Linked DNA regions of Danio rerio. The protein of the gene in region 6 interacts with the protein of the main gene of each other region in a pairwise test. Links are inferred from orthologs where the notes say so. Each region holds a gene or a part of one and is shown on either strand. Other genes may lie near its edges.

The links.
Region 1: the proteins of morf4l1 (region 6) and l3mbtl3 interact in binary tests that used the Homo sapiens proteins (3 or more experiments, as listed by UniProt). The two-hybrid records come from large-scale screens. The link is inferred for Danio rerio from reciprocal best matches to the Homo sapiens genes MORF4L1 and L3MBTL3.
Region 2: the proteins of morf4l1 (region 6) and fxr2 interact in binary tests that used the Homo sapiens proteins (3 or more experiments, as listed by UniProt). The two-hybrid records come from large-scale screens. The link is inferred for Danio rerio from reciprocal best matches to the Homo sapiens genes MORF4L1 and FXR2.
Region 3: the proteins of morf4l1 (region 6) and lzts2a interact in binary tests that used the Homo sapiens proteins (3 or more experiments, as listed by UniProt). The two-hybrid records come from large-scale screens. The link is inferred for Danio rerio from reciprocal best matches to the Homo sapiens genes MORF4L1 and LZTS2.
Region 4: the proteins of morf4l1 (region 6) and mrgbp interact in binary tests that used the Homo sapiens proteins (3 or more experiments, as listed by UniProt). The two-hybrid records come from large-scale screens. The link is inferred for Danio rerio from reciprocal best matches to the Homo sapiens genes MORF4L1 and MRGBP.
Region 5: the proteins of morf4l1 (region 6) and sh3glb2a interact in a two-hybrid assay, tested with the Homo sapiens proteins (2 studies listed by BioGRID and IntAct). The link is inferred for Danio rerio from reciprocal best matches to the Homo sapiens genes MORF4L1 and SH3GLB2.

Annotation. Positions count from the first base shown.
Region 1 is NC_133195.1:2,232,574-2,236,073, reverse strand, and holds part of l3mbtl3 (lethal(3)malignant brain tumor-like protein 3), read right to left. Parts: intron 3,277-3,500; coding exon 3,141-3,276; intron 1,891-3,140; coding exon 1,799-1,890; intron 1,028-1,798; exon of another isoform or gene 152-1,027; intron 1-151. UniProt on the Homo sapiens protein: Is a negative regulator of Notch target genes expression, required for RBPJ-mediated transcriptional repression. It recruits KDM1A to Notch-responsive elements and promotes KDM1A-mediated H3K4me demethylation.
Region 2 is NC_133182.1:22,701,746-22,706,044, reverse strand, and holds the start of fxr2 (fragile X mental retardation syndrome-related protein 2), read right to left. Parts: upstream 2,801-4,299; 5' UTR 2,738-2,800; coding exon 2,687-2,737; exon of another isoform or gene 1,523-2,686; intron 1,193-1,522; exon of another isoform or gene 1-1,192. UniProt on the Homo sapiens protein: mRNA-binding protein that acts as a regulator of mRNAs translation and/or stability, and which is required for adult hippocampal neurogenesis. Specifically binds to AU-rich elements (AREs) in the 3'-UTR of target mRNAs.
Region 3 is NC_133188.1:20,766,707-20,770,206, reverse strand, and holds part of lzts2a (leucine zipper putative tumor suppressor 2a), read left to right. Parts: intron 1-2,425; 5' UTR 2,426-2,452; coding exon 2,453-2,962; intron 2,963-3,500. UniProt on the Homo sapiens protein: Negative regulator of katanin-mediated microtubule severing and release from the centrosome. Required for central spindle formation and the completion of cytokinesis.
Region 4 is NC_133198.1:17,436,447-17,439,946, forward strand, and holds part of mrgbp (MRG/MORF4L-binding protein), read right to left. Parts: intron 1,978-3,500; coding exon 1,896-1,977; intron 1,817-1,895; coding exon 1,742-1,816; intron 1,526-1,741; coding exon of another isoform or gene 1,377-1,525; intron 1-1,376.
Region 5 is NC_133183.1:3,988,864-3,993,003, forward strand, and holds the start of sh3glb2a (endophilin-B2a), read left to right. Parts: upstream 1-1,340; 5' UTR 1,341-1,425; coding exon 1,426-1,488; intron 1,489-1,801; coding exon 1,802-1,943; intron 1,944-3,510; coding exon 3,511-3,639; intron 3,640-4,140.
Region 6 is NC_133193.1:21,420,883-21,424,987, reverse strand, and holds the start of morf4l1 (mortality factor 4-like protein 1), read right to left. Parts: upstream 2,801-4,105; 5' UTR 2,618-2,800; coding exon 2,578-2,617; intron 2,505-2,577; exon of another isoform or gene 1,984-2,504; intron 1,636-1,983; coding exon 1,589-1,635; intron 1-1,588. UniProt on the Homo sapiens protein: Component of the NuA4 histone acetyltransferase (HAT) complex which is involved in transcriptional activation of select genes principally by acetylation of nucleosomal histones H4 and H2A.

The DNA.
Region 1 (3,500 bases), on a different chromosome or scaffold from region 6:
TATTTACATTTGCTAAATGCCAGAATAATAAGATAATTTTTTCTTTCTGAGAATTTTCTATTAATTTCTAGACAGTCTAAAGTTTACACACATTTCCTTGGTATTTTTTTTAGCTTTGCTTTTAAACTGTATAACTTTGGTCAAATGTTTTGTCTCCTTCCACAAGCTTCTCACAATAGTTTGCTGGAATTTTGGCCCATTCCTCCTGACAGAATTGGTGTAACCGAGTCAGATTTGTAGGTTGTCTTGCTCGCACAAGCTTTTTCAACTCTGCCCACACATTTTCTATAGGATTGTGATCAGGGCTTTGTGATGGCCACTCCAAAACATTCACTCTGTAGTTCTTAAAGCACATATGAACTAATTTGGCAGTATGCTGAGGGTCATGGTCTGTTGGGAAGACTCATTTGTGGTCAAGTTTTAATGTCCTGGCTGATGTCTTGAGATGTTGCTTCAGTATTTCTCCATAATGTTCTTTCTTCATGATGCCATCTATGCTGTGAAGTGGACCAGTCCCTCCTGCAGCAAAACAGCCCCACAACATGATGCTGCCGCCCCCATACTTCACAGTTGGGATGGTGTTTCTAGGCTTGTTGATTTCCCCTTTGTCCTCCAAATGTAACACTGCTCATTATGCCCAAACAGTTCAATCTTAGCTCCATCAGAGCACAGGACATGTCTCCAAACATGAGTCTATTCCCAGTGTAATTCAGCAAATTGTAATCCGGCTTTTGTGTTGATTCTGGCTTGTTGATTCTCCATGTTGTCACACAAGGAAGCAGTGTGTTTGAGCTTTTCCTTCAATACTATTCTACAGCTGTGCCTCACATGAACTCAAATGTTGTCAATTAGCAAATCAGAAACGTCCAAAACCCTGACATCATCATCTGAGCTTTTCCAGAGGCAGAATAATCTGATTGCTATAAACTTGACTTTCAACAAGAGTTATAACAATTTCTCAAACAATCTCTCTCTCATTATTCTGCTATTAAGCAGAACAGACACAAATGTGATCATCCTTACTTACCTAAAAGAGAAAAACTCTAGTCACATTAAACATCTGACTTTTTTAAATGGTTATGTGCCTTTTTATCCAGTGTATGTAAACCTTTGCGTACAACTGTATAACTAATGGGAAAAACATCCAAAGATCGGTTCTTGCACAGTGGATAAAGGAAATGGCTGATAATCTCACTCTTGAAAAATGAACATGTGTAATCAGAGAAAAAATAAGTGTGGTCCTTTTTGGTCACTTCATAAAAGGATAAATAAAAACTGGATGTCTTTGGAAAGATGTTTGCAATTTAAAATTCAATGCAATAATGTGTTTTTTATTATTATTATTGTTACCAATTATTTAATTAAGTTATTATACACACACATGCACACACGCACATTAGTCAATTTATTTTTGTATATAATATTGTATTTTAGAAAATATTTGTCGTTCTATAACTTATTTTAAATGGTATTTCTGTTTAATAAATGTTGGGTTTTAAAGGAAACATTCAGTTGCGCTGGCATCTCTGTGCTGTAGCTGTTAAATCACAAAGGGTTTAGCTTAAGGCACGTGTGTGTTTATGTCTTGCTGAAGTGAAATGAAGTTAAATGAATTAAATGAAGAGAAACAGCGCCATCTGCAGACACACACACGCACACACGCACACACACACACACACACACACACACACACACACACACACACACACACACACACACACACACACACACACACACACACACACACACACACACACACACACACACACACACACACTTCTGTGGTTTCCGCACTCACCATGTTCTGGTTGTGAAACAGGGCTTTGGGTGCCGTCTGGATTTTATTGAGCTTGATGTAGGAGGACCAGCTGAACTCTTCATCCTTCATCCCTACACACACATTCATTTACACACAAATTAGTACACTATATATTCACACACATTCATACACACAATCTAATATATACACACACACATTCATATGCACACAAATAATATATATACACACACACACATTCATATGCACACAAATTATTATGCTATATACACACACATTCATATGCACACAAATTAATACACTATATATACACACACACACACACACACACACACATTCATTTACACACTTAATCTAATATATACACAAACAATCATATGCGCACAAATATATACACACACACACATTCATATGCACAAAAATAATATATACACACACATATTCATATGCACACAAATATATACACACACACACATTCATATGCACTCACATTAATATATACACACACACATTCATATGGACACAAATTAATACACTACATATACACACATTCATTTACACACACAATCTAATATATACACAAACACATTCATATGCACACAAATTAATATATACACACACACACACATTCATATGCACACAAATTAATATATACACACACACACACATTCATATACAAACAAATTAATACAGTATATATACACACACATGCACACATTCATACACACACAATCTATTATATACACACACATTTATATGCACACAAATTAATATACAGTACACACACACATTCATACACACACAAATTAATATATACACACACATTCATATACCCACAAATTAATATAGTATATAGACACACAGGCACACATTCACACACACAAACTAATATATACACACACACATTCATATACGCACAAATACATTTATAGACACACATTCATATACACACAAATTGATATATATACACACATTCATATGCACACAAATTAATATACACACAATTGTACATACAAATTATATATATACACACACATTCATATACAGACAAATTAATATATATACATGCATTCTTACACACAAATTGATACACACACACACACACACATATTCATATCCACATATTATTATATACACAAATTCATACACACACACACACACATACACACACACACAGACACACATACACACACACACACACACACACATTCATTTAGATAATTAATTCATGCATGCACACACATTCATGTACACACAAATTCACACACAAACACACACACACACACACACACACATTCATAAACACACACATTGATATTTACATACACACACATAAACACACATCACATATTCACCCGCACACCTTTCGGTGGGTGTAACTTGTGTCCGGTTTTCTCACACCAGCCCACAGGGTGAATGTCGGGAGAGTTGGAGTTTACCCAGAAGTCATAGCAGTCAGAAAAGTGATCAAAGTGGAGTCTGATTCGATGCCCTGACACCTGAACACACACACACGCGTACACACACACACACACACACACACACACACACACACACACACACACACACACACACACAGGAGAAACGAAGAGAGAATTATTAGCCGCCCTTTATATTTTTTAGGATACTAGTATTCAGCTTTAACTGACATTTAAAGGCTTAACTTGATTAACTAGGCAGGTTAGGGTAATTAGGCAAATCATTGTATAACAGTGGATTGTTC
Region 2 (4,299 bases), on a different chromosome or scaffold from region 6:
CAGCATAAGTGTTTGCCATTGAATCATGTTGGCATCTGTTTCTTAGGGAGTTACATAGGGAGCAAACAAAACTTGCGTGAGGCAATGTGATATACATAGCATGTGCTAACACACATTTAGCTCCCGAAGCAACACCTATGCCACAAACGTGGGCACATGCATGTCACAGGTGTAGTACAGGGTAGCATGTGAATGTGAGACGTAATTGAAGGGGTCGGGTGGAGGCACTCAAAGTCCCCTCCTCAAAATCTGTTCCTCATCCATCACTCCTCCTTCCTCTACTAACCTCAGAGCTGCCATAAAACGATTACCCCAGTCGCCACCCCCATTATAGCTTAGCTACATACTGCCAATGCCTAATATGGGACGAAGTGGCTGAGACGAGGGTGAATGAAAAAATTAGACAGAACGAGTTCCAGTATGTAACCTGCTTGGAAGAGGCAGGCTAGTTTCCGGAAAACTGGCACAAGCACATACTGTATGCAGGCCTATTTAGAGCCATGTGCATATACATACAACCCCTTAATGCATTAACCTGCATTATCACGCTTGCCAAATAATGAACCAACTATAAAAGATGATCCTACGGTATTAATTTATGCACGTCAATAGGACAAGACACTAAACCAGCGTAAAAAGAGCTGTAAATCTACATGTCCAAAAATGGAGCTCCCTTTACAAGCTTTTAAAAATGAAGATTTAACGCCTGCTAATTTACAAGTCAGCAAAACAGACTAAAAGCAGCTGGGCAGGCTTTTAATATAAACTGTCCCATGTTGAAACTGTTCCAACATACTAGATTGTGAATTTACATATTAGTGTCTGCTGGCCAGTTCTGTGCAGGAGAGGCGTTAGGGTGGCCTTACGTTAGGGTGGTATTTCTGGATATGTAACACTACAGGCATGCAGGACCCAAGAGGATGAGTGGCAGATAAGTAGTGTATGACGAAGACCCCCGGCCACGTGGAGGTCTCCATGTGCATCTTCATTCATAGCATTTGAGGGAACCTTGAAGAAGCTTGAATTGAAATAAACTGCATGACTAAAAATTATTTTACAAGTTCTGACTTATGGAAAAAAACATCAATATTGGGGCAGACTTTACACTATGTATACACTGTATACTTGCTGTATACTTGCTCCAACTCATAGTTTGGTTACAAGACCCAAGACTTTAGAACCAATGTTGTATCTATTAAGGCAGTGGTTCTCAAACTGTGGTACGTGTACCACTAGTGGTACGCGGGCTTCCTTCTAGTGGTACACGGAGGAATGACATATATCATGTACATGCTACATATATTTCAACATTTATAAAAAATTATGTGTATAATATGCCATATATGACATATAGCCTTTATTTCTGAGGTAATATGCCATGTTTTTTTTAAACTGTGCAGAGTTGTAGCTGCTTTACTGGGCATACTACGCTACTGTATTTCAATATTGCTTATTTTGGTGGTACTTGGAGAAAGAATTTTTTTCTGAGGGTGGTACTTGATGAAAAAAGTTTGAGAACCACTGTATTAAGGACATTTCAAATCTCAGACCAAACTATTTTTATTAAGTGGTAAATAGTCAATGTAAACTCAAATTTAAGGAAAAGCCTGCAACAATTAAATGCTACATTTAAAAACCTGAAAAGAAGAAAGAGTATTCAAATAAAATAGGTGCTACTAGGACTAAAAAAGACCTAAAAAAACGTAAAGACAGCAAATGATGAGACCAGAAAAGAAGAGAGTTGGTCAGTTTTGGTAGGGGGTTGTAGAGTGTTGGGTGTCAGCAAAGAGATCACCTGTTCCTCTTCCACCTGCTTTGGCCCCTCAGACTTCTACAGCTTGAAACAGCCGACACAATCACAGTACTATCCTTAAATCACAACCTATGACATAACATGACCATCCATACTCTAGTCATTGATATAGAGACCTTTTTTAAATGTAATACAGCATGTTCTTCACGAAAGCAAGATAAGTGGTTTCCCACTGTTTAACTTGAACTCAAACTGACCAAACAAAGAGAATATCACTGTGAATTCACAACCAATATGAAAATTAAACGACCCAACCTGACACTTTAATAAGCTAGTCCAGCCACAGAGTATCTATCTTAAACAGTTAAAACCAAAAATAAAAAGTGATCATCATTTAGGAAGAATGACAACATCAGACAACATTTGCTTAGACTGCCTGGAAATAATTAAAACACTGTCGGTCCACACTTTGACTGCCTTTCCTTTTTGTGGAACAAAGAATAAAGAAAGGGTTGTGAACAAGATGAGGATGATACATGATGGCAGAAATATCATTTTTGGCCTTAACTTCCCCTTCAAGCACTGATGAAATGTCCCATCATGTCTCTCAAAACCAAGTAACCTGCTCATCCTCTCATAAAATCTCCCAAAAATGCTTTCTATGTAGGGCACCTCGGTTGATTTTGAGATATAGCCACTGGCTTCTTGTCTTGTTAGCTAACCTGCTAAAATGACTCGGTGATTCCCCTGTTTATAGCTGAGAAATGAGAAAACAACACTGTACACACACAACCAGGCCGATGATCATTAGGTCTCGGGCCTCTTTGAAAGTGATACACATGACTGCATCACATCTCGGCTGTCCCGACCCGCTCGCTGATGCGTACACTGGAGCTTTATGGTTTAAAATGGGTTCATTTTAAATGAAGTTACCTTGTAGAAGGCCCCGTTGGAGCCGCGCACCTCCACCGCCAACCCGTCCATGTTCGTCGTCGCTTCCCCACGGCTGTGCCTCTCTTTAGGCGCTACGATAGCGTGCGAGTCCGGTACCACCCCCAGCTTCACGGGCCTCTCGCCGTTCTCCGGCCGCTTCTGTGTGTCCAGTGTTTCGGGTGAGAGAGGGGGCAAAGGTGACGGGGGAACACAGGAGCCACAGGGAGGGGGTTCAGCTCCGACACCCCTTACAGCAAGGCAAGCCAACTCGAAAACGGCTGCCTACAGCGCGAGGGAAGCTCGCGGGAGTGCCGTTAGTGGCCGGTCTGAAGCTGGACTGATGCTGTCTGATGACGGTGGATGTAAACGAGGTGTTAGCACAACAGCTAGCGCAGCCGCTAATCAACGGGCACCGACACCTTCTGGCACTTGATCTCGCGGCTCCTGCATATGTCGGGATGATTCTCGTAAAAATCCTCTATGTTATATCTGAAAACGCTGTTGATTAGGACGTCTGTTCTTTGATAAGACTGTGATGCTGTGCTACTTCACCCTTCCCCTCCAACACACGCCGTCAGAGTGGAGCAGCAAGACTGTGAATGACCCCGAAATCCCCACCCCTCTCCACTATACGCCCCGCCCAGCGCAGAGTTTGAGGCTTTGATTGGTCTACCACACTGCCACTTACTAACAGCTGGAAGATCTGATTGGTGGAGCTGTCGGGGGCTGGTCGATGCGGACTCGGTGCTCGCGGCTCCTGGTTCGCCGGGTTTGTCCTATTAGCGCCAGTTGTGTAGTTGCTATATTTGGGTGGCTCTGGTTGGTTTTTGACGACAGACCCACTCCTGATTCACAAAAAACTCCGAAATGTACGTTTCATGAAACGACCAGACTTTATAAAAAGCTCGTTATTTAGGAATACTGATAAATAAATATAATGTGTGTCAAACGCGAGATGCAATTTCTATTTTGAGCAGATGCTTTCATAACACACCGTGCAACCGCATGAAAAACAATCATGAAATGTATCAAATCTAAAACACTGGTCTCACTCTGAATAATTTGATGCATTAGGCACAACTGATTGATTTTGTATGTAAAAATCCGTAAAATCAAAGAATTGACATGAAATGTGTAATCAAGCCCCGTGACAGGTCCACTAATTTATTTTTCAGCAATACTTTATTGTTGTGGATGTTGGATCATGAAATCTCACAGCTTCAAGTTTATTGTTGAACTGGGTTGGGTTATACTGGGAATACAGGCCAGTAGCCTGGTGAAAGGGATGGTTCTTTTTTTTCAAAAAGTGGACCTTTTTGCAGTTATTCACCTCAATTTTCTATTAAATTATTAGATCTAAATACTGTATTTTGAATTAAAACCAAATGGGAGGAAGAGTTGGTTATTGATATTGATGAGGAAACATGGGATGATGGTCTAAAGCTAAGAAAATATCTGTTTGTACACGTACAAGGGAATACAATATAACATAATACACAGTCTCTATATCGCTGCTAACCGCAGACATCTAGTTAACACTTCTAATTCACCTACATGTGTTCAAAATGTAAAACTGATGCAGGTACTTATGCGGTTATCACAATCGGAGGTTC
Region 3 (3,500 bases), on a different chromosome or scaffold from region 6:
GACTGGCAGGCTCTTTGCAGATTATTCCACATGGCAAGGCTGCTCTTAGCACACAACAGCAGACTAAATATATACCCTTCAATGCCCATCTTTGAAATAAACTCTAATACACCAATTCACAAGATATGCAATGTGCTGCTAATGCTTGCTTGCCCTTTTTTTTAGAAGTTTTGTTTTATGTTATGGCCTTTAAAGTTACAGTATGTAATATTAAAACATTAATCATGTTGGTTACATGGATAATTTAAAGAGCTAGAAACCTAAAAGTTGTTTGTTCGATCCCTGCAAAGAGCGCTATCATTATTGTGCAATTTGTTTTTCAACTTGTGTGAAGTTAAGTTTGCATTGTAGATGAACTGCCACAGACTAAACGGCAAAAACATTACATTTTAAACATTTAATTTCGAACCTTCCGGTGGAGAGAGTGTTTGCTGGTGCTTGCTGGTGTTGAGGTTATGCTACAAAAAAAATATTAAAAACGAAAGAACGATAAAACACCAAAAAAGATTACCACACAGATGGAGGAGGTTGATGATATCAAGCGATCGCTGGATATGTTGACAGAAGAAGTCTCTGTTGTTAGACAACAGCAGAAGACGATCATGGGCCTGGTGGAGGAAGTGAAAGCCTTGAAACTACAAAACATTGTAAAAGAAAAGAAAATACATACATTTTTGTATGTAATGACTCAGGTAATGAAATGAGAACTATTAGTTTTATGAATATTCAGTATTCACAAGTTAAGTTAATCTTGACTGACATGACATTAACAAATAATAATGTTATAAAAGAGCAGAGAGTTATATGAAAGCAATTGATGCATGTCCAAAGGCATTTGCAATCTGTTGGAAAGAATGATAGACTGCTACTATGATGTGCACAAATGACAATTTGTTTTGAGAAATGCATTAACTGTTGTGCAAATGTAAATAGTGTTGTGAGAAATGTATCAAAGCAACTGAGAAAAACTGTAATATGGAAAACAAACTGTGGCTGGCTTTGTTGCGTCTCCTGTTTTCAAAAGAAGAGTCCTACATTAAGTACATAGTAAATGTGATATAAACTTTAATGCAGTTAAAAATAAGGGAGGGCTTTATTAAAAGGCTTCCTTCTAGTGGAATTTCTGAATAACTAAAGTAAAAAAATGAACATACTTTAACCCTTTAATGCGTACGATAACACCAATGTGATCAGTAAATTTTTTTTAAAAGGCTGAACCTTTCATTTTATTTTCAATTTTCTAATGTTAGTTATGTAATCTCCTCCACATATTTGTAACGGTTGTTGGGGGCGTATTTCGTATTTTTATATCCCAATGTTGACAGGTATGGTTTAATCACTTGCTTTTATGACACACAAAGCCTACTCTAACGCACAGTAAGCAGATTTAATTTCTAATTTAAATATGTAAATCCAATTCCTTTATTTAAAATATAAGTTAATGTTTAAATTTCAAAGATATACAAATAATTTATATATACATTCAACATATATTTCAAAATGTATCAAAAAGAGTTCATATATGAATATTATGACATATAGCTTATATTTATGAGGTCCAAGGAACATTACCAGGTTTTGATGGATAGGCTACTTTTTGTTAATGCTTTTAAGTACAGCTGTTTACTTTTTAAGAACAGTGCCACATATTGATTTAAACTGTGACTCTTTATTTCTTTTTAATTGTAAGCACAGTACAATCTTAATGTTCAAACTATTTATAATGTTTAAAGTGGCTGACAATAATAAATATTCATAATAAGAAGACTTAATCTGCCACGCTTTTGCACTGTGCAGTGATGTAGCTGCTTAATAAAGCCTACTGCGCTACTGTATTTTAATACTGGTCATTATGGTGGTGCTTGGAGAGACACATTTTTCCTGAGGTGGTATTTGGTGAAAAAAGTTTGAGAACCACTGAGCTAACCCAATGTAATTGTATGTTGTTTGGCTGATTACAATCCACATGAAACACCGACAACTTCATTTTTGAAAAATACATGTAAACAGTTTATGCACACTTGATCAACATTTTGCCCTCCATCCTGTAGTTGCTAAAATTGTTGAATGCTACACAAAAAAAAAAAAGTTTTGACCATCTTGTCACTGTAAAGCATTGCAAATTAAGAATATTACATTAGGTGAAAATACACTTCTCTATGGCTAGTTCCTAGAACAGAGTTCTGTAACTACCTGTTGAAAAAAGCCCATCGAGATACAAAGATTTTTTTTTTTTGAAAAGCAACCTGTGGCTATACTCTGAGTACAATGAGAAATTTAAGCTGTGACATCAACATGTTCATGTGTTTTAAAATGATGAAGCTAGTGTAATTATGACCAACAGAATAATCTATTTTACAGGATAAATGACATCCATGCCAATTACAAAATCTTTATTCCTTGTCCACTGTTTTTCTCTCTACAGAGTGTGTGTCCTGGTCGGGTGTTCACCATGGCTCTAGTTCAGGCACTGCCTGTACCCACTGATCACCCAAAGCCCAGTACTGACGTCCAGCAGTGCTGCTCAGTGTCTCACTCCCCCACAGTAGATGTCACTGGCACCATGGGTTCTGTCAGCAGCCTCATCTCTGGACGTACCTACCAGGAACGCCACTGTCGAGCCGCCAGTGACTTTGGTGCCAGATATCGCAAACCCACACCAGCTACAAGCTGTTTTCGACAACAAGAGGGCACACTGCGCAGCTCCAGCTCACAGGAGCAGCTTCTGAACAGTCAGCCTCCTCTACCCGCTAAGAACAAGTCTTCTGCCCTCATCTCGGCTGGCAATGGCAACTATGGCTATTTGAGTGATGAGCCAGTGGGTGATTGGAATGATAATCACGTGAGCACATGCAGCCCATCCAGTGACACTGAAGAACCTTCTGATAACAGAGGCATGAATGGTAACATCGGTGGACCTCCGCCAAAACTCGTCCCAGTGTCAGGCAGGTTGGAAAAGGTAAGTCTTGGAGTTGATCAGTTGACATTTGAAAACAAAAATAATACAATAAATTGTAAATTAGTGACAATGTATTTAAAAAAAAATTAAGATATAAAGTGAACCAAAATGCAGTAACCAAGAATACAATCAGGCAGGGTTTGTAAAGTTATTTCTAGAAGTATACATGATTTTTTAATTGATATCATGCAGATATTTTTCAAAAGAGACTTACTGTAAAAAACTGTTTTAGTTAATTTAACAGTGTTTAAACCCTGGACATTTCTTAAAGCATTTTCTTTCTAATGTGACCCACTGTTTCGTTGTTGAGGTGTCATTTAATTGTTTTAGTATAAAGAATGGCGGCTGACAATTCACACATCTATTCAGCTTTTCCTTTCCAATGAAGAAGGAGAGCATTTAAATACTGCAAAACGTCAATATGCCATCACTCACCATACACATTTAATCAATGATACCTCATTACACTTACAACACTAAAAGATGGTGTTCTTGGAGGTTTAATGCATTTAATATTTTTAAGATACACATGTGAAATGGC
Region 4 (3,500 bases), on a different chromosome or scaffold from region 6:
GTGTGGGTGGGTGTGTGTGTGTGTGTTTTGACTCTGAAAGTCACCCCACCCAAACAGACACTCCTCCGACACTCCCCCCTAAACAAAGCTGGACACGGCCACTTTTCTGACTTTTTCCAAAGTAGAGGTGTGAAAACACCCTGCTGAAACGAGGGGGCTTCATGGCCCTTTAATGTGCAACTGCAACACATTATTTGTTACTCGCGGGACAATAACGTATGACGACACGTGCCTACAGACATATTTGCCAAAGAAGCTAAATGGAAGAAGAATATTGCTGTTTGATACCGACGAATTGATGTCAATCCAGCGCTGATGCTGATAGCCTCCTGGATTTGCATCATAACAAAACAAATTGGCTTTAGCTTTCATTTTACAGCTTATAAAGCATGTATGCAAATCAATGCAATATCATATTTAAACAACAAAACGGTTTACAAAAAGTCAACATATGTGCGCGTTGACATTGTCTTTTCATCATGCAGCGCACGCACTTGAACCGCGAGTGAAAAGGGAAAATATAGACTATATAAAATACATAATCTTTAAAATAATGAATTCTATTTAAAATGTAAAAAGGTTTTGTGATATAAAAATGGCGGGGCATTATATAAATGCGTATTTTTTGTGGAGCGAGCAATTTGAGAAAGACTGCTATTTTTATTTGTTGGAAGACAAAAACATATGATTGGAAAAAAAAGCCTATGCCTGTTTTTAAAAAGGATTCAGTCAATGTTTTCATTTTGTAATCTAAATTAATAAATTAAGTAAAAAATTATTTAGGGCATGCCTATTTATTTTATACATTTTATTCAGTTTATTTTGTTTTTCTATGGTGTTGGAAACACTGCAGGTGCGTGAAGATGCTCTGTTGTTATGTTTTGTTATTAATATGCTACCATGTTAAAATAAATTAGTATTTTAAAATGCAATATTTAATGTGTCAGACACAAAATAGACATGTAATTTTTTTTCTATTTAATAACAATGTAATATTTATCTGACCAGTTAACCGTTAATATCCTATTAATGTGCGGTGGTTGTCGGTTAGCAAAATTAACTGAAATGAGCACCACTAATTTGATGCCTAAAATTATGTCAACAAAATGAATAATCACGTTCTACTCTAAAGTTTCAAACTAAAGGTCAAAGCCATGTGTGCTATTTCCCTCAACCTTGCTACATTTTTGAAAAACTGTTGAACCATTTTGAAACACCATTATCATATAAAGCTGTTGCTTAACAAACCCGTCAAAACATGCCAACATGCTTCCCACCACACATACAGAGAATAACAGACTAGGGTGCACATAAAAAAAAGACAAAAGAGAAAGAGAAAGGAGGACAGCGAGAGAAAGACGGAGAGAAAGACGCACATGGTCAGAGGTCTCTGAAGGCTGTCTACAGAGGCCTCTGGTAATGAGCTGGCCTGTACTGAGCTCAAGCTGGAGTTTTGGAACAGAGCAAAACGTTTTCTTCTGTCCATACCTCGCAAAATCCTGGCCAGCCATACTGGGACCCAGACCTTTGAAAATGAGACAGAAATGACCAGTGTGAGCTTCACTGAGCTTCACGCCAACGAGAGAACGATCCAGAAAAAAAAAGTAGTAGTAGTGATGCAATGACGCAGATTTTAATAGACGGTTTACTTAAAAAAAAAAAAAGAGAGAGAGAGAGAAAGGGGGCAAGCAAAAAGAAAAGGGTGACTAGATGAGAGAATAAAGAGAGTGAAGGAGAGAACCTTCTTCATGGGTTGCAGGAGGGTCGCTCTCTTCTTTGAACTCCTCTTTCACGTCATCTTCAGATCCCACTTTACCTACAACAAGATTTGAATGATCACTAAAAACAAATATGTCAGCTGGGAGTTAAAACACTGAAAACTAAGAGGAGCCCACCTTCCTTGACGTCCTGTATGATCTCTTCTGGAAGCACAAAGCTCTTTTCAGAGTTTGGAAATGGAAGTATTTCTGATTCATGCTGTGGCAACAAAATTAAATTTGCTGATTAAATTTGAGTGTTGGATAAAATAATTGCAGCAAACAAATAAAAAAGTAGACAATTGACCCTTCGCTAAGCCACACCCAACAACCGCCACCCACCAATCGTGGCTTAGCAACTGTAGCTACTTGCAGGGGCTCTGTCAAGCTTTCGAGCGAGTATATATGGATTGTGCAAATCTGATACCCGGTATCCTTAAAAGTTTGGACGGGATGGTGGAAATTTTTCCCTTTTCAAAACCTAAAACCCAAGGGGAGAAATGCCAGCGTAGATCAAGCTGTGTGAGGGACGCTAAAGGAGCGGAGCTAAGTCGCTTTTGTTTTGATACTCCTGACACATTCAGTCATAGATGGACGGCAAAAACTCACACACCTTTAACCCTACACAGATCTAAACTGTACTAAAATACAAAGCAGGTTATGTTTCACAGCTGTCTTATTCCTTTTTTTTTTTTTTGCTCAATATTTTGAGTAATGCTCCGTTTAAGCCTTCGCTATAATGTTAGTAACTTAATCATACTAATAGTGAATAGGTCATAATGACACGAGTTATTGATCCGGAAAATACTAATCTGCAAAATCTGTTTACTGAACTTCATATTTCCATCTTATTTCAAGCTAAATCAACAAAACAAACAGAGATATTATCACAAACTGAGCACTTGCAATCAATATACTTTACCAGCAATTATTCTACCATTTGGAACAAATCCATCAGTTTCCCCTTTCTGGTTGTTCTTTCTATGAATGAACTATGTAAAAGCACTGTCGTGCGTGTTTCCTCGCCAGTTAGTAACGCTATATTTCATTGCACAACAATTAATCTATCAGGGTTTTTGGCTAAAAAATAGAGAAATCACGGTTTTTAGTTGTTATTATTAGATTATTTTAAAATTTCACCTCTCCTGAGGCGGCTAGGCTAAGCTACCTTCAATTTTGATTGAATTATTCTCTAATTGGTTGCCTATTATGCCGTGAATATAACCCTGTATTGCATACGGCAGTCCTTTTTTGTCTGGCTCTCTCGGATATCTCACTTGTTCGCCAAAAATGACATTAAATCCCTGGCAATGTTTGACACTGGCGCACACACATTGAAAAAGCTGTGCCAGGCACGAAAGCTTGACAGGCGTAGCAACAGTAACTAAGGAGGGCGGGGCTTAGTGAAGGGTCCATTGACATGGATTGTGTGATAGGGATGGGAGGATAACCAGTTTCAAAGTTTACCACGGTTCAGAAAAAATAAATAAATAAATCAAGGTTTTAGAACCACAAAAATGTTCTGTTATACCATTCCTAAGGTGTATGTAAGATTTTAATCTTAATGTGTTTTTTATGTTTGTAAAGAAATCTTTGTTTTTGAAACTAATAAACACAAAATATTACAAATGTTGCAAATAAAGTAAAATATAGTGTTCAATGGGGAAAAAGGTTGTCATTTTTTTACCCAGACATTTAAAAAGAAATTATTTTAGAGCAGTAATCACAATACCGTGAAATTTT
Region 5 (4,140 bases), on a different chromosome or scaffold from region 6:
TCTGAAACTGTGTCTACCGAAGGGCTACGACGCTCAAGGAGGGAGCGTAAACCCCCAAAACACTTAAAAGACTTTGTGATGTGAAGAAAAAAAAAATAATAATCTGTTGTACTTTATCTATATTGGTGTTAATTGTGAAATGTGGGGGGACTGTCTTTGGATTTATGTGGGAAGGAGTGTAGTATGGCATAATAATGTTGTCCAGTAGGGGGCGATGTGTCACTTGATGGTGCGTGCAGTATAAAAAGGGGCTGAGAAGAAGACCAGCAGGTGTGTTACCAGTTTGCTGTGTATAGGGTATTCACCTTATTCTCAGCTGTCGAGCGGGCGCTGCCATTTGAATATTTTTGTCTCGCGACTTCCGGTCACATTCACTTCCATTCATTTTTTGACGTTAACAACTGCTCGTTACGCTGCTTGATGTTGCAATTTAAAATTTTCTTATTATATTATGCTACTTGGTCTGTGTAGTCATGCAAACATTTGTTTGTTGAGCAAGTAGTTTGGCCATTTTCTGCCGTTTATTATTCCTAGTCATTTCTCCCATAGGCGACTGAATCGGAAGTTCTAAGACAATCGCGAAAACAGGCGCACTTCCACATTTTAGAATAAGGTCAATATGTCGAGCTAGTGCTGTTCCCATACTGATACACTTCCGGTGACCTGTTATTGTGGACTTTTCTCCATTTTATACGGTTCCTTATACAGCATCGATGTTGTAATGTCATTAAAATACATTCAGTTAAATAAACTTTGCCATTCATTTAGTTGCTCAAGCGTAAAACCAGACAAAAAGCCGTTTACTCGCACGCGCCCGTCAGAATCTGCAGGCTAGCGCAGAAGCTACATTGAATATACTGGGGTAAAATAAATGCTCATATTATAAAGATATGGCGGGGGAAATGTAATTTAATGCAGTGCTTCTTGTACAATCTGAGACCCACTTTATATCGGATATCACTCAGCTAGTGGAGATCGCTGATTTTTAAAGAAAACAGACCTTTACCGCGCCGGTTTTTGCATTGAATACAGTTTGCCGGAAGTGCTTAACCCAGGTGACTGGCAAATTAAAAGTTATATTAGCATGATTCAGCATTTACCCTAATTTCCAGAGTCCCAATAATTGACAAGCATGAACGTTTGGCTCTGAGTTACCTTTATTAACTCAAGATACATCAAAAAATACATAGCTAATGTACACCATTGACTGTTGTACACCGTCTGAGAGAAAAAAAAAGTTTATCCAACTATGACGACTTCCGTTACTGAGAAACCCGGAAATGTGAAAAGGGTCCATGAGCCGCGCGGCGCCATCTTGAGGAGAGAACGGTTTTTTCCACAGAATCAGGCGGACAGTCAGAAACTCACTGGCCTCTGCGGAGTGCCAGATGCCGCGGGGATTTCTCCTCTCTCTCCGCTCACAACATGGATTTCAACGTGAGGAAACTCGCCTCGGATGCTGGGATATTCTTTTCCCGCGCTGTCCAGGTAAGAGATGCCGTTTTTCGGTATGTAAATAAGTGTAAAGGCGACAGTGAGAGTGACAGTTAATGTGACGCGCGTGCCCGTTGCGTTTACACAAAACACCGAGTTTCACTGATACAATCACACATTTTCACTTTCACCTCAATTAAATGTTGTTTCTGACATAGTACACGCTGTCAATGTAGGGTAAATATAAATAAATTAGGATATTAGTCGACAACTAGCCATGTTTGAATATCTTAGGCTGTTTGGTTTGTTATTCTGATGTGTTTCCTCTCAGGAATATTATATTAATGGAGTTTTTTTATTGGGACAGTTTACAGAGGAGAAACTGGGACAGGCTGAGAAGACTGAACTGGACACTCACTTCGAGAATCTGTTGGCCAGAGCGGATTGCACCAAAAACTGGACAGAGAAAATCTACAGGCAGACTGAAGTTCTGCTCCAGCCAAACCCGGGTTAGACTCAAAGATATATAATGTACACATGCATGCCTATTATTACGGTATCAGCTTCTTCCAATTCTATGCAAATGTCAGGCTTCTCATGACAAAAATAACGTTTTTCCCAAAATAGTGAGACCCTTTCTACGTTGTTTGTTTAGGCTTGTACTGTAAAACACTGCAAATGTCTCTGTCAGTGTTTTTAAACAATTATACCCTCCTGAGACCCAACTATTTATATTTTTTACCCAAATAATTTCCTACATCATTTGGGTAAAAAAAAAATCTACAATTTAGAGTTTTTACATTTTGTTTTAATTTTTTATTTTACAGCATGTCCACTGCAAAACGCACATCAAGTGACCACACACACTCATTCACACACACACGCACACACAGTCATGCGCTCAAGACAGCGGGTCCAGGCAGTCAGTGGGTCAGTAGACTGGTTCAATCTTTTGCTTTCACGCTTGTACTTAGTAATTTTAGCGAACACCTCAGATACTATTGGTTGGTTCCTTTTGGTTGTGCACCCTTTTTACCAACCAAGTTTGTCGACGCCATCATAACGACACAGATCACTCTGACTATTCTTGCCTATTCATGAGTCCTGCGGAAAATGTGATTGACAGGTGGTAATTATGTGTGTAACTTATCTTTATTCATTTATGATTTGTTTATCGGTAAAACAAAGACCATGCGGGTCAGGTAGTTAAAACGGTAGGCTACAAATAATAAATTCGTTATGAATTAATTATTCATAATTATTGTCTATGACGATGATGCCATCGTCCATCACAATGTTTATATTAGACATCGTACGATGCCAAATTGGTCGACATCGCCCAACCCTAGCATATGTATATATATATATATATATATATATATATATATATATATATATATATATATATATTTATATATTTATATATATATTTATATATTTATATATATATATTTATATATATTTATATATATATATATATATATATATATATATATATATTTATATATATATATATATATATATATATATATTTATATATTTATTTATATATATATATATATATATATATATATATATATATATATATATATATATATATATATATATATATTGTGATTGGGATTTTTGAAAGTATTGCATTGCTTTAAAAACATTTATTATTACCATTTGTTGAGTCCTACTATACAGTTTGATAGAGCGCTTGGACCCAGAAGCTGCTTTGCTTGAAGTCACACTTAACTAGCAGATACATAGATATTGATTCATCTTTCAGTAACATAAAATTAAATAAATAATTAAAATACTTTTTTTAAAAGCTTTTACGTATTATTTTTTATGCTATTATTTCCCCCCTTTGAAACATTGAAACCAAATAACCGTTCATTAGTGACTGTAAAAACTTAAGTGTGCATTTGTTTTTTGTTTTTTTTTGTAAAGTCATCAATTTCAAATCATTGTTTTCTCGCTCTGTTGTCTTATTTTTTTAAGTTTCCTACTATAGCTGCTTGTGTTTTTTTGCCATTTGATGTTGTCTGTGTTTTTTTTTTTAATGTTGTATGTCTGTCTGTGTACCAGGTGCTCGCATTGAAGAGTTCCTGTATGAGAAGCTTGACCGGAAGATTCCACCACGGGCCACCAATGGAGAGATTTTATCCCAGTTCATGCTGGAGGCTGCGAAGGAGTTTGGACCGGGAACACCATATGGTAAGAGTCTACTCTCAGAAATTAGTCTAAACACTGTGATTATCATTCATTTATGGGTGATTCTAGAATTGCTGGTATATTTGCATAAATTTAGAGAATAAAAACTTTAATTAAATAGTTTTAAATAATAACACAAATGATATCAAGTCATCTTTAAATAATAACGCCCCATTCACACGGGACGTCAGCGTCAACGCTTCTCATTCACTTTGAATGGGTGATGTCAGGCATTGCCGAACTACATTGTGGACCCGTCGGCACCGCTTCAGAGGCGATGCTCGCTGCAGAAGTTGGGACTAGCTCAACTTTTCAAGTGCCGACGGAAGCGTCAGCCAATCAGATCACTGTATGCAAATACACCAGCTGGACAGTGGCCTATTGCTGACTGAATTTCATTGGCTGATGCTTCTATGACGATCGCTTCAGCCCCAACGTCAGACACGCCTTCAGTCAAGCTTTGACGCTGAAGCCCCGTGTGAATGGGGCGTAAGCATGACGCAA
Region 6 (4,105 bases):
TTACTTGTTTTATTTCGGCTAGAATAAAAGCAGTTTTAGATTTTTTTAAAACAGTTTTAAGGTCAAAATTATTAGCTCCTTTAAGCTATATTTTTTCAATAGTCTACAGACCATTATTATACAATAACTTGCCTAATTACCCTAACCTGTCTAGTTAACCTAATTAACCTAGTTAAGCCTTTAAATGCCACTTTAAGCTGTATAGAAGTGTCTTGAAAAATATCTAGTCAAATATTATTTACTGTCATCATGGCAAAGATAAAATAAATCAGTTATTAGAAATGAGTTATTAAAACTATTATGTTAAGAAGTGTGTTAAAAAAAACATACTCCATTAAACAGAAATTGGGGAAAAAAATAAACAGGGGGGCTAATAATTCTGACTTCAACTGATATTCCAAAACTTTTTATTTAGTCCATTCTTTTTAACATAATATTGTATTATCATGTAGACAACATACAGAAAGTATAAATATATCCTCTAGTAAATATTATAACAAATAAATAAGTCTAAAATATTCAGATGCATCAAAATAAACTTTTGCTACCAGCAAACTATGTTTATATATTAAACTATATACTTTACTACATCTGTCTTATATACACCTCTGAGCTAGCTAACTTAAACTGACTTCATCACTGCTCTTATCAAATGTCCAATCTGCATTATTCTCATTGTCACCATCTCATCCTCACGTTCATCTGTGGGAAGAGCCAGTTGTGTCCTTTTCTTCTTTCACTAACTATAGAACATTGTGGTCCTCACTAATACACTGTTCCTTGTATTTATATCTAATCAAATGCACTGCCATTAAAATTAGATTTAACCATAAAGCAAATGCCATTAACATACAACTAATCAACGTTATATTACTAGCATTCATGTTGTTATTGTTACAACTTTAAAGACCACAGCTGAGCTGACCTAGCTAGCTAATCTATCGCAATATCGCACATTCCTCTATTGTACAGCATTTCCATTTGCTAGCACATACATTTGATCGACTTACAAAATGCTAATTTGATCAAAATCTTTTTGAGTTGTGAATATGTCATCATAACTTATTGGATGTGATGTCTCAGATTTTGTTTGTGGATCTGGCATGGGTTGATGCTTTGATTTTATTGACTTTTTCATTTGCTTTCAGCAACTATTCAAAATAAACGCCAGTCTAACAGAAACCAAGCCACAGAAAAACACTGCACGTCATGTGACTTAACCGAAGCACATCATTGGCTACACTAAGGTCTTCTCTTTCCAATAACCACAAAAAAACAAAAAAAACAAACAGAACGTTGGTCTTAAAGAAACACTGGCAGAAGAAGAAGAACAGTGGCACTGGCAAAAATTAACGGTATTATGTTGCCATATGGCAACACCATGGGGTAGAGGGCTAACTATACAAAAACAAATCCCTTTACTTGACACAGAAAACAATACCAAAGCATTAATATGATAAACAAAACCACTACAAACACATGACTACATTTACACTATAAATGTAATGCCATTCAGGTACTGCTTTCAGGAAAACAAATATCAAAAAGCCTTTTGAAGCATGCATAATGGCATGAATGATTCAGGTACCTTAGCTTCGTATAGCAATGGCCCATGAAAGCACAGCACTCGTTCACCTGAAAAAACATCAGAAATATTAATATACAATGACATCCACTAATGGGCTAATAAATAAAATAGAAGTGTTACATATTCAAATATGTGTGTGGGCACAGAATATTGTACTTTCAGAAAATGCCACAACAAAGAAATGTTTTAAATGTATAGTAGATTTATAACAGTCTGCAGTATATTTACCATATTGTTTGTTTGAATCATAATTAAGCTCATTATAACCAAAATATAATTAGCATTTTCAATACACAATACTTAAACAAACGAGAAATACGCACATTTAAAACCTGCTTATATAGTCAAACAATACATCAAATCTGACTGTTTACTTGACATATGCGTTTACTTACAATCACCAACAATATTAACTCATATTAGAGTCCCAGTTCAGGAATCAGATTCAGAATAGAACACTGTTCTAAAGATTCGATTCTATAGAACGATTCATTCAGTTATCAAAAATTGCTAATGGTCATTTTAATGCAATAATATAGCCTTTCTTTGCTCATTATCGACTTCAGTTTTAGAACAGCTCCGAGCTAACGTCGTTGTTTTTACGCTTCAAATAAGTAAATGACTGTTCCCGCCAGGACTTCAATACTGCAATGGCCGCTTCCTGTAAACAAGGCCTGCTGTATGCTAACGGCTACATCATAGACAACAGCTAATGTTTTGTTTCAGGAACACGCCGCTGTGTGCGTCTGCAGAGGCTGTCAGATGCAACGAAAAGCACCAACGTGCGATCATGCACTCGCTTGACAGGTGATGAACAACTCTGCACAAGTTAAAGGCGGCAACTCTCAGCTAAAAAGTGTTTTGTAACAGACAGCTCGCCGTGCGCGCGCGCCATTGTGCAGCGGCAGCGCCCGCTTCCTTTGCACGGCAGAATGAGAGGATCCCCGATCGACGGGTGACTCTCGTGGATGAAACAAAGCGCATCTTACCTTCTTGAAATTTAGGTTTAGGGTCCTGTTTAGGCGCCATTCACAGATTAAACAATAAAAATAGCTGGAAAATCAAATCCAGGCATTGCCAGCTCCGATTTAATTCACGCAGGGTGAAGGCGCCGCGCTGCGTTCCTATGACGCACTTTACTGGCGCCCTTGTCAGGTGACTCTCATAATAAACAGCGTTTATCCAGCAGCCCCTGTTGACGAATGACAGAAGTTGTGCTCTACTCACGGCAATACATGTAAATAAGTGCATTTATGCAGATATATTTCAACGTTACGCCACGCCTCTTCTATAATTTATGTTTTTATTTCTTGTTAAAATTTAAAGGGGTAGCTGCACCAAAAACAAAACAATTGAGGTTATGCAAGGTGTACACGACTTTTGTTTATATATATATATATATATATATATATATATATATATATATATATATATATATATATATATATATATATATACATATATATATATATATATATATATATATATATATATATATATATACATATATATACATACATACATACATACATACATACCATACACACAGTTCTCAGCATAAATAAGTACACCCCTCACAAATCTATCTTTTAAATTCATATTTTTAATAGGAATCTATACTATATTAGTCAGTACTGAAGCAAATCTGGAGCCTATCTAACAAAATAACTTACGATAACAGTCCAAAAATAAGTACAGCCAAATTTATGTTATAGAAAAAAATATTAAATGCAAATTTAAGAAAAGAGAAAAATAAATAAATAATATTTTTTTTATAGGTTGTAAGTTTTTTTGGGGCCATATTTTGCTTGAATTTAATTGTATTATCTTTAAAAAAATTTATGTTTGGTGACTAAAATATTATTTCATTAAATAAATTTGTTTAATAAATTTGTTTCGTTTAAATGCACCACAATACATTGCCTATATTCACTGACAATTGGATACACATATGTGTGTACTTAATTATGCTCAGCACTACACACACACACACACACACACACACACACACACACACACACACACACACACACACACACACACACACACACACACACACACACACACACACACACACACTTTTAAGTCAGAATTATTACACCGGCCCCTCCGGTGTAATATCTTTTTATTATAAAAAGATATTATCTTTTTATAATATTTCTAAATTATGTTTAACAGAGCACAGTATGTCTGATTATATTTTTTCTTCTGGAGAAAGTCTTATTTGTTTTATTTCGGCTAGAATAAAAGCAGTTTAAAATTTATTATGTATCATTTTAGGGTCAAACCTATATTAGCTCCTTTAAGCAAAATTTTTCAGACTGTGTACAGAACAAACCATCGATATACAACAACTTGCCTAATTACCCTAACATGTATAGTAAACCTAGTTAAGCCTTTAAATGAGCTAAGCTGTATAGAAGTCTCTTGAAAATTATCTAGTTAAATATTATTTGTCACCATGGCAAAGATAAAATAAATCAGTTATTAGAAATAAGTTATTAAACTATTATGCTT